Linked DNA regions of Danio rerio. The protein of the gene in region 1 purifies or fractionates together with the protein of each later gene. This does not show direct contact. Links are inferred from orthologs where the notes say so. Each region holds a gene or a part of one and is shown in the gene's direction. Other genes may lie near its edges.

What was found. Proteins that work in one complex are often made in the same cells at the same time.
Region 2: the proteins of exosc10 (region 1) and exosc3 purify together in Homo sapiens (affinity purification with mass spectrometry; 8 studies listed by BioGRID and IntAct, counting the BioPlex papers as one, with this or other methods). This does not show direct contact. The link is inferred for Danio rerio from reciprocal best matches to the Homo sapiens genes EXOSC10 and EXOSC3.

Annotation. Positions count from the first base shown.
Region 1 is NC_133198.1:16,311,757-16,317,143, forward strand, and holds the start of exosc10 (exosome complex component 10), read left to right. Parts: upstream 1-1,943; 5' UTR 1,944-2,005; coding exon 2,006-2,128; intron 2,129-2,304; coding exon 2,305-2,441; intron 2,442-4,217; coding exon 4,218-4,341; intron 4,342-5,387. UniProt on the Homo sapiens protein: Catalytic component of the RNA exosome complex which has 3'->5' exoribonuclease activity and participates in a multitude of cellular RNA processing and degradation events.
Region 2 is NC_133189.1:58,544,770-58,550,156, reverse strand, and holds the start of exosc3 (exosome complex component RRP40), read left to right. Parts: upstream 1-2,198; 5' UTR 2,199-2,209; coding exon of another isoform or gene 2,210-2,443; 5' UTR 2,444-2,955; intron 2,956-3,150; 5' UTR 3,151-3,836; coding exon 3,837-4,109; intron 4,110-4,562; coding exon 4,563-4,714; intron 4,715-5,387. Other genes in the region: tcerg1a (transcription elongation regulator 1a), read right to left, coding at 1,448-1,494. UniProt on the Homo sapiens protein: Non-catalytic component of the RNA exosome complex which has 3'->5' exoribonuclease activity and participates in a multitude of cellular RNA processing and degradation events.

The DNA of each region.
Region 1 (5,387 bases):
ATTTAATTTCCCCCCCAAAGCAAGTATATTATTTAGAATAAATTGAAAGTTTATATGAATAGATAAATATGTAAATAAATCTATGAAATCCTGCATAAATAAAACAACAAATAAATAAATACGCAAATAAATAAATAAATAAATTCCTGCAGAAATCAAACAACGAATAAATAAATTCCCAAATAAATAAATTCCTGCAAAAATAAAAAAAATGAATAAATACCCAAATAAAACAAACAAACAAACAAATAAATATATAAATAAATCCCTATATATATAAAAAATGAATAAATAAGTATCCAAACAAATGAATGAATAAATAAATAAATAAATAAATCCCTATGTATATAAAACAATAAATGAATAAATACCGAAATAAATATTTATATAAATAAGTAGATATGTAAATTCCTGCATGAATTAAACAATGAATAAATAAATACTCAGATAAATAAATAAATAAATAAATAAATAAATAAATAAATAAATAAATAAATAAATAAATAAATTCCTTCATAGATAAGACAATGAATAAATAAATAAATAAATCTCAAACAAATAAATAAATATATACACATATTCCTGCAATAATAAATACATAAATGATTAATTGTTTGGGCAGATAAAACAGCTTTCAGTTTAGCATTTACCATTTACTTATTCCCCCTAACATGAATTTAATTATTTATCTGCCCACACTATTAATTCTTTAAATATGTATATAGGCAGGAATTTGTGGATTTATATATAAAATAATAATAAAAATATATATTAATAATATATTTGTGTGTGTGTGTGTGTGTGTGTGTGTGTGTGTGTGTGTGTGTGTGTGTGTGTGTGTGTGTGTGTGTGTGTGTGTGTGTGTGTGTGTGTGTGTGTGTGTGTGTGTGTGTGTATTATTATTATATTTTTGGTGTCGTCCTCTATACCCGCCCCTCATTGATTGATCGTTAGAAACAAAAATGTTGGATTTTTTTTTTCATTAGAATGGTGACCATTGGGAAAAGTAAATACACAACTGTTAAAGAAATAAATAAACATTTGAAAGGGCAGAAAAATAAACTTTCAGTTCAGCGTTTTCTTATTCCCCCAAAATTCGTATTTTATTTAATTAATTACCTGCCCGCCCCACACTAATTGTTGATATATGAATTTGTGAATTTTATACATTTATTTATTTGCATATTTATTTATTTAAAGTTTTATTTCTTTACAGCGCTGCACGGTGGTGCAGTGTAGCACGATCGCCTCACAGCAAGAAGGTCGCTGGTTCGAGCTTCGACTCGTTCAGTTGGCGTTTCTGTGTGGAGTTTGCATGTTCTCCCCGTGTTCACGTGGGTTTCCTCAGCTAAATTGTCCGAAATGTATGAGTGTAAATGAGTGAGTATATGGATGTTTCCCAGTGATGGGTAGCAGCTGGAAGGGCATCCGCTGCGTAAAACATTCTGCTGTGGCGACCCCAGATTAATTAAGAGACTAGGCCAAAAAAAGAAAATTATTTATGCTGGAATTTAGGGATTATTTACTCATTTATTTATATATTTGCGGATTTATTTATTAAATCATTGTTTTTGTTTTGAACTTGGTGTAAAAATAGCTAACTGCGTGTTAAATCCCCTATTTTATGGCACTTAGAAACATAAAAAGCTAGTGTAAGAAAATTAGTGCATTTAACAGAGTGCTTCAGGCGACATTAATTAACATAAAGGCAGGCTACGTTTAATTAGATTTAATTATCAGTTTGTAATTAATAAACTGCACTTTAAAGAAAATATTTTGTGAACAGTGGTATTATACATGTTTGGTCTAATGTGTCGTTGCAGTTTCGCAATTCTTACCAGCAGATGTCGCCAAGCTTATAGTGTTTTGAACGACAGTATATTCAGTGTATTCATTGTGTCCTTCAGGTGGCGATATCAGCTGTCATGGTCGTCCACACACGCTTTGCCAAAGAAGAAAAAGATTTTCTCGTGCGGCTGCACTTTCGCGATTTAATGTTTTCAACATGGCGGCCTCCTCGAGCAGCGCTGCCGTGGCCAAACAGAGCGACCATTCTCCATCAGCAGAGGAAACAGAGGCAGAAACTGAGTTTTGTCCGGGCTTTAAAGACGTCGACACATTTGTCAAGGTTTGTAGTTTGTTTGAATGTGTGTCAGCGCTGTCATTATCTGTGAATACACCGCAGCGTGGAGAGATTGAGAGAGACATGTGTGGACACGGAGTGTTTTTCGATCATTAAATGCACGTATGTTGTCGTGTAATGATTGTAGTTGCTGAAGCAGGTTTGTTTTTGTGTGTGTTCAGCATGGTCTTGGAGCGGTGGTGTCCGCCACCAAAGCCTCTGCTGCTCTTCCATCAGCGGGAGATGAGTTTGATCTGTACCGCAGTTTCTCCTCCTTCCAGCAGTTCTGCGCCTCACAAGGAGACCGACTCTTACACTGGTAAAACACTCAATAAACAAATACCGAAAGACTCATTATAAACACTGAATTGTTTACAAACACTGAAACACCATTTACAAGCACATTGTGGGCAAAATAAACATTGGAACATTACGCACTCGTGATAAACATGCTGCTGCAGGTTGAGGTAAAGTTGCTTTTATATTTGCACATCGCACTTTCTCCGTAATAATATATCTTCAGAAAAGTATTTCTTGTAAATTCTTAATAGGGGAAATCATATTAGTAGCCAAAGAATATTAAAGTACAACATCGTCCACAGTCAATTAAATGTTTCTAATGTTGTTTTGAAGTCATACTTGCATGTGATTTCAGAGCGAATATTGAAAGTACCATGTTAAAACATATAGGGAACGTGTCACAAGTGTTCAAAAATGAATGAATGTGCAAGCATAAAATCAAATTTACCTTGATGCTTTATAACATCTAATAGATGCTTCAAAGAATGTCGTTAACACTATGACACCATAATCAGAGATAGCCAGCAAATAATGCTTTTTGTAAGTGAACATTTGTTTGATTTATTACGATTAAAAAAAAAACATGAACATGCATGCATTGTATAATACCATGTATATCATACTACTAGCCAATTACTAAATATTCAATAAAATAAACCTACTATTTTTTTTCATAATTAACGTTTTTTTATATAAATATTGTAAAATGTATTGTATTTTTAATGTTTACAGATGCCATTAAGATTACTCAAGTAGTTATGATATGTATAAATGATAAGAATTAGTAAAAGATGAACAGAGAAATGCAGTAAGCTAATAATAGTAATAATAATAATAATACAAAGGTGATGATGATGACTATTATTGGTGTTAGAATATTAATTTCCACACTAGTAAAATAAATACTACAGCAATGGTAATATTATTTTACAAGTGATCTTAGGGCCTTTTGTACAAACATCATGTAAACGTGTTTTGACAGTAAATTCTAAACATGCATGCATTAATAGTTACAGTTTTGATAAGAAAATAATTTAATTACATAAAGCTTTTGGTAAAATGTAAAACTGCTATTAAAATATACTAGAATTTTACTGAATGGAAACTACTACTAGTTATAATATTTAATATTATTACTATTAGTATTATATATGAACTTAGGAGTTCTTGGACAGTGGACAATATATAGTTTGAGCGTTGATATTACAATGTGTGTATCCACAATAGATACAGCAGCATCTGAATAAATTATTAAAGATTAAGATATTATTATTAAATATATTTTTGTTTATTATATTTATTAGAATTTTTAAATCATTTTTATAATGATGACGATGTTATTTTATGTTTGATTGTTAAATTTCTATACCTGAATAAGAAAACCTTTAAGCACTATTCACCTTTTCTCTTTGCTCTGCTGTATTTATATATGCTTGTAATTTATTATGATTTATGCAAACGCACTGGACAGAAACAGACTTGATCATCTCAATCTATCTAAATGAATGAAATCTTTCCAAATCTAGCTATTCTATTCATCTGGTAAAATTATATTCATTGATAGTATATATGAATAGTAAATATTGCAAAAAAAAAAAAAAAAAAAAAAAATTCTATATATATTGCAATGTCAGATTTTTCCAATATTGTGCAGCCCTACTACTAGGTATTCTTAAATATATATGCCACAGCATACTGCATAAAGCTTATCATGTCAGTGTCAGTAAAGTTTACTTCACTGGAGACTGACAAAGCAATTTTCTTTTTTTTCTTTTTCTTTTTTTTTTCCTGACAGTATGAGCCAGATAATGCAGCACCATGGCTGTAGATCCCACATGAGAGACCGGAACAAACTGACTGGACTGGAGGACCGCTTTGACCTGGTGGTGGACGCAAATGATGCCATCCTGGAGAAAGTGGTACGAGTCTCTCACTGACACGCACACATCGCTGAAGTTCTGGTTCAGTGCTTCCTGTTGGCATGTCTGTTAATGCTGAGAATGAGAAGGTTTATTCCAGACACTGAAAGTCAGGGAATGCTCATATATTTTTGTTAATCTCCTGGAATATCAGTGATTATTGTGTTATTGCTTTAAATTTTAGTTTCCATTCAGCAAAATGCAACTTTTCTGTACCATATTCACATCTATAGTTACTCTCATCAACTCCCAGTCATTTAACTAAGGCTAACATGTTGGGACAATATACATTGTAAGAGATTTGGTTTCAAATGACAACTTCAAAAACTTTGTCAGAAGTAGACCTCAGGAATTTGTTAGGCTATCATATGTGGGAGAGAGAGCAAATTTGTTTTAATATTTGAATTATACTAAATTATTGATTGTTCTTATAATGCCTGTTAAAACTTAAAATGATATTCAGATTAAAATAATTCTTAAATTATTTTCTTATCTATCCATGTATTTATCTATAAATCGTTTTTATAGGAACCCTGCTGTTGTGTTTACATTTGAAATTAGTGATGCTCATATCAGGATTTTTGCAGCTGATACTCAGTACTGATTCCTTGTCATGGTGATCGGCCGATACCGAGTACCGATTCTGATGCTTCAAGCTTTATAGTGCATAAAGCACATTTTCCCTCTAAGTATGATACTTAAGTGCAGACGTCTCCTTTCCTAAGAGAAAATATTAAGGATGTTGCATATAATCCCATATCTCTCATTACCATTTAGTTTGGGCATGTAATGGTCAGACACAGGTTTACAGAAAATAATAAATAAAACATGTAAAACAAATTGGTTAGAAGTGACTGAAAAAGCTATTTAAAAACACTGCTAATGACAGAAGAAGAATTCAACATGTTTCAATGAAGAAAAAGTTTGGTGTATGGGCTTTATTTGATGGATAAGAGTTTGAGCTTCACACCTATTAGTACATTACTTATTTACTTAAAGGAAGTAGGCCTATAAACTACTGTTTATTGCAATAACTAGGCCTATAT
Region 2 (5,387 bases), on another chromosome or scaffold:
GAGGAAAACTTAATTTTCTTCATGGCAAGGTTGACATTTGCACGGAATTGCTCGTATATATATATATATATATATATATATATATATATATATATATATATATATATATATATATATATATATATATATATGTATATATATATATATATATATATATATATATATATATATATATATATATATATATATATATATATATATTTGGCATGGGACGACTCAAGGTATACCATGGTTTGGGAAAGTCAAGGTTTTAAAACCATGAAAATTTTCCGCTATCCCGTTCCTAAGGTATAAATAAGATTTCTTTTTTTTTTTTATTAATTTTTGTTTTGTTTTTAAGGACAGCAGTATCTCCAGCAGAAAATATAATCAAAGATTCTGTTTTAAACTGGAAAAATATTAGTGTTTATAAAAAAACAAAGACTGCAGAAGTGAATGATTCATTAAAATGATTTAGCCTGACATGTTTACTGCTCTAAAATATTTTAAATGTTTCCCAAAATAGAATATATATATTAAAAAAGGAAAAAAAAGTTTAGTTTTTTAACCAGAGATTTAAAAAGTAAATATTTCAGAGCAGTGAGCACAATAACATGATACTGTGAAACCGTGATATTTATGTCCAAGGTTATCATACGGTCAGAAACTAATACCAGCCCATGCCTGATACATATCACCATAAACATGACAGGCAGCGAGTCATATCATAGCATCATGTGCAGCTCTACTGTAGCACTGAGGAAAAATTACTTAAATCAAATAATTGTTGTTAGGAAACTGGCAATGTGACAATTAAAAAAAACACAAGTGGCTCAAGGAACATGTCCATGTGTTGAAGGAAATCCTGCATATCCCAAAAGCGTCAACAACTCATTTTCAGCCAAAAGCAAAGTTCCAGCCTTTTCACAGCACATCACCTGCATTAAAACACCGTAACGCGACACTGTAATCCGTTACTTTCGAGAGAAACTCTCCCCAACACTGTTAATAACAGATACACACACACCATAAACACGCTGAAGACGAGCAGAACACACACTTTAACCCCAGATACTGATGATGGAGGAGTGTCTGCACTGACTCCTGCATTGCTGAAGGTGTTCATTACAGTACACCTGAATCTGAAGCACTGACTCCATCATAAACACACTGTCCAGCTGATCTCACAGCCACATCACACCCTCTACACACTGACAGGGTTATTTCTGAGACTCGGTGTGTGTCCTCAAGCTCTTATTCTCGGCGGAAACTGCGATATAAACACAGTGAGGCGACTGCTGCTGTGCTGCTTTCATTGTCCACCCTCCGACGGGCCAGACGAGGCTAAAACCCACTCAAATCTGCCTTATTGGAGACGAAGCCCAGAGGAGTTTCGGGATAAACTAAGGCGAATGATAACCGGGGGTCTGTGTTTATCTGAGAGGGAAAAATAAAGCGAAAACTGCACCTGTTTGCAGCCAGGCCGATGCCTTCTGCCTCTGTGTGCTCCGCCATAACGGAAATGCCACAAAAGTCCCCATTTCCCGCTCAGCGGTTTTCAAACTTCTGAAACATCGTGACTTTTATTTCCAGTATGAATTATTTAACTTAACTGGTAAAAAATATGCATTTTTCGGTATAGTCCAGTAACTTGGCCAACAGTTTTGGTTACCAGAACGTTCCTATTTAGTTAAAGTTATTTTAGTTATAGTTTTAGTTTAATTAGTCCCAAAAATAACCTAAATTAAAGGGGAAGATTTGTGTTAGCTGGAATGTTAGCACGTTCTCCCTCTCTTTATCCAGTTTTTGATTTATTGATTGTTTTTACGATTTAATTATATTTCGTTTTTAAAAACAATCAAAGACTAAATATTAATAAATGGGGTAGATCTCCTTAAAATAAATCCTGCCATCACTTACTCAACCGTTAACGTTACATGTCCCAAACCGGTTTAATTCCATGTCTCAGTTGAACACAAGTTATTTAAGCGTTGGAAACCAGTAACGTTAACTGTTGACTTCAATAGAATTTATTTTCTTATAATGGATGTCGATGGTTACCGGTGTCGAATGATATTAAGAATGCTTTTAGAAAAATCTTTATAATATATTTCTGTTGTGGACATAAAGGGTTGGAGAGGTTTTAATGAGTTAATTTGTATAGGATAAGAGTCCCCGTGCCGGAAGTGCTCAGACACGTGTGTTTGTGTGTGTTTTCCGCTCCTCCATCATGGACTCCTCAGTGCACACTAGTCTGCTGGAGAGGATAGGAGATGTGGTTCTTCCAGGCGATCTGCTGTTCTCCTTCAGTCCTCCTGAAGCCGGAGACGCGAACCCGAAAGCGGACAGGCTGATCTGCGGCCCGGGGCTGCGGCGGAGCGGAGCGGAGATCCGTGTGTGTAGAGCAGGAGTCCTGAAACACAAACAACCCAACATGTACTGGGTCAACTGTCAGCAGAGACGGGTCAGAACACACACACACACAACATGTGCCAGCACACACTATTGTTCAGAAAATTCACTAACACACACTACAGGGCAGAAAACACACAATAACACACGCTACTAGCCATAACACACAACCTAACACACACTACTAGCCAGAACACACAATACCACACACTACTGGGCAGAAAACACACAATAACACACACTACTAGGCAGAACACACAACCTAACACACACTACTAGCCATAACACACAACCTAACACACACTACTGGACAGAACACACAATAACACACACTACTGGGCAGAAAACACACAATAACACACACTACTAGGCAGAACACACAACCTAACACACACTACTAGCCATAACACACAACCTAACACACACTACTGGACAGAACACACAATAACACACACTACTGGGCAGAAAACACTCAATAACACACAATACTGGGCAGAAAACACTCAATAACACACACTACTGGGCAGAACACACAGTAACACACACTACTGGGCAGAACACACAGTAACACACACTACTGGGCAGAAAACACACAATAACACACGCTACTAGGCAGAACACACAACCTAACACACACTACTGGGCAGAACACACAATAACACACACTACTGGGCAGAAAACACTCAATAACACACACTACTGGGCAGAAAACACACATTACTGGGCAGAAAACACTCAATAACACACACTACTGGGCAGAAAACACACATTACTGGGCAGAAAACACACAATAACACACAATACTGGGCAGAACACACACATTACTGGGCAGAAAACACACGTTAACACAATACTGGGCAGAAAACACACTCTAACACACACTACTGGGCAGAAAACAAACAATAACACACACTACTGGGCAGAAAACACAACCTAGAACACACTACTAGGCAAAACACGCAATCACACACACTACTGGAAAAAAAAAAACACACCACTAGGCAGAAAACCCAACCTAACACACACACTACTAGGCAGAAAACACACAATAACACACACTACTGCCAAATTGGTTGACATCGCCCAACCCTACTAAATAAATATATATATATATGAGTGAGAGAGAGAGAGAGAGAGAGAGAGAGAGAGATAGAGAGCTGTATACTACGTTTGGTCTATATAAATCATTTATTTTAGTCATCTTAAAGGGTCAGTTCACTCAAGAATGAATATTTACTCCCTTTCTCAGCGTATTTTTAAACCTTTACATGTTTCTTTTTTTGTCAAACACAAGAGAAGATACTTTGAAGAATGCAGAAAACCGGTAACCATTGACTTCCATAGTAGGAAAAACAAATGGAAGACAATGGCTCCAGGTTTCCAGCATTTTTCTAAATATCTTATTAGTGTTCTGAACGGGTCTGGAACAAGTAAAGGGTGAATAAATGACAGAGTGTTCATGTTTGGGTGAACTGGCCCTTTTTAACACTGCACAGGTCAGGATGTGTCGTGGTGCTCCTCTATCTGTGCTGAAGGTGTTCCGGACTGACCTCTGCTCTTTCCTGCAGTATGTTCCAGCTAAGGGTGAGAGTGTGATCGGCATCGTGACCGCAAAGTCTGGAGACGTCTTCAAAGTGGACGTTGGAGGAAGTGAGCAGGCGTCTCTGTCCTACCTGGCCTTTGAAGGAGCCACCAAGAGGAACAGACCCAACGTGCAGGTACATGATGACAGAGCCACTCCAGCAGCAACAACTCATGATCAACAGTGAAATGACAGATCGACCCACAGGGAAGCAGCAGCAGTCAGTAATGCAGGATGATCTGCTGTCAGGGCTTCACCGTCAATAACTGTGATTATAATGGAAGTGAATGGAGCAACAACAGACAACATAACCAAGCAGAGTCAGTGTGAACACACACACACACACACACACACACACACACACACACACAGTGTGAACAGTGTGTTGATGAGTTATGAAAACTCTCACAGCATTTCCCCATAATGTGTGTCAGACTCAGATTATTCAGCAGAAATCATCACATTTACTGAAACACAGAGAAAGAGGACAAATGAAGACTCGACATCAACCCAGAGTGGAGGAAAACAACCCAGCAAAGTCGTGTTCGGTGTGTATGAGTCCTCCTAACGCTGCTGTTTGCTCCTCCAGGTTGGAGATCTGGTGTTCGGGCAGTTCACCATCGCCAACAAGGACATGGAGCCGGAGCTGGTGTGTATCGACAGCTGCGGGAGAGCCAACGGGATGGGTGTGTTCGGAGGCGACGGGCTGCTCTTTAAAGTGTCGCTGGGACTCGTGCGCAGGTCTGACCTACAGCTACACACACACACACACACACACACACACACACACACACACACACACACACTCAACAGCACAGGCAGCAGGGAAAATAAGAGTTATAGAAACACACTTGTGAAGCGGACGAGTGTTTAAACACAGTGTCTGGTGTATTAGGACAGGTCAAGCCAGCACACACTACTGATCAGAAAACACACACTAACACACACTACTGATCAGAAAACACACACTACTGATCAGAAAACACACACTACTGATCAGAAAACACACACTAACACACACTACTGATCAGAAAACACACACTAACACACACTACTGATCAGAAAACACACACTAACACACACTACTGATCAGAAAACACACTATAACACACACTACTGATCAGAAAACACACACTAACACACACTACTGATCAGAAAACACACACTACTGATCAGAAAACACACACTACTGATCAGAAAACACACACTAACACACACTACTGATCAGAAAACACACACTAACACACACTACTGATCAGAAAACACACACTAACACACACTACTGATCAGAAAACACACACTAACACACACTACTGATCAGAAAACACACACTAGTGATCAGAAAACGCACACTAACACACACTACTGATCAGAAAACACACACTACTGATCAGAAAACACACACTAACACACA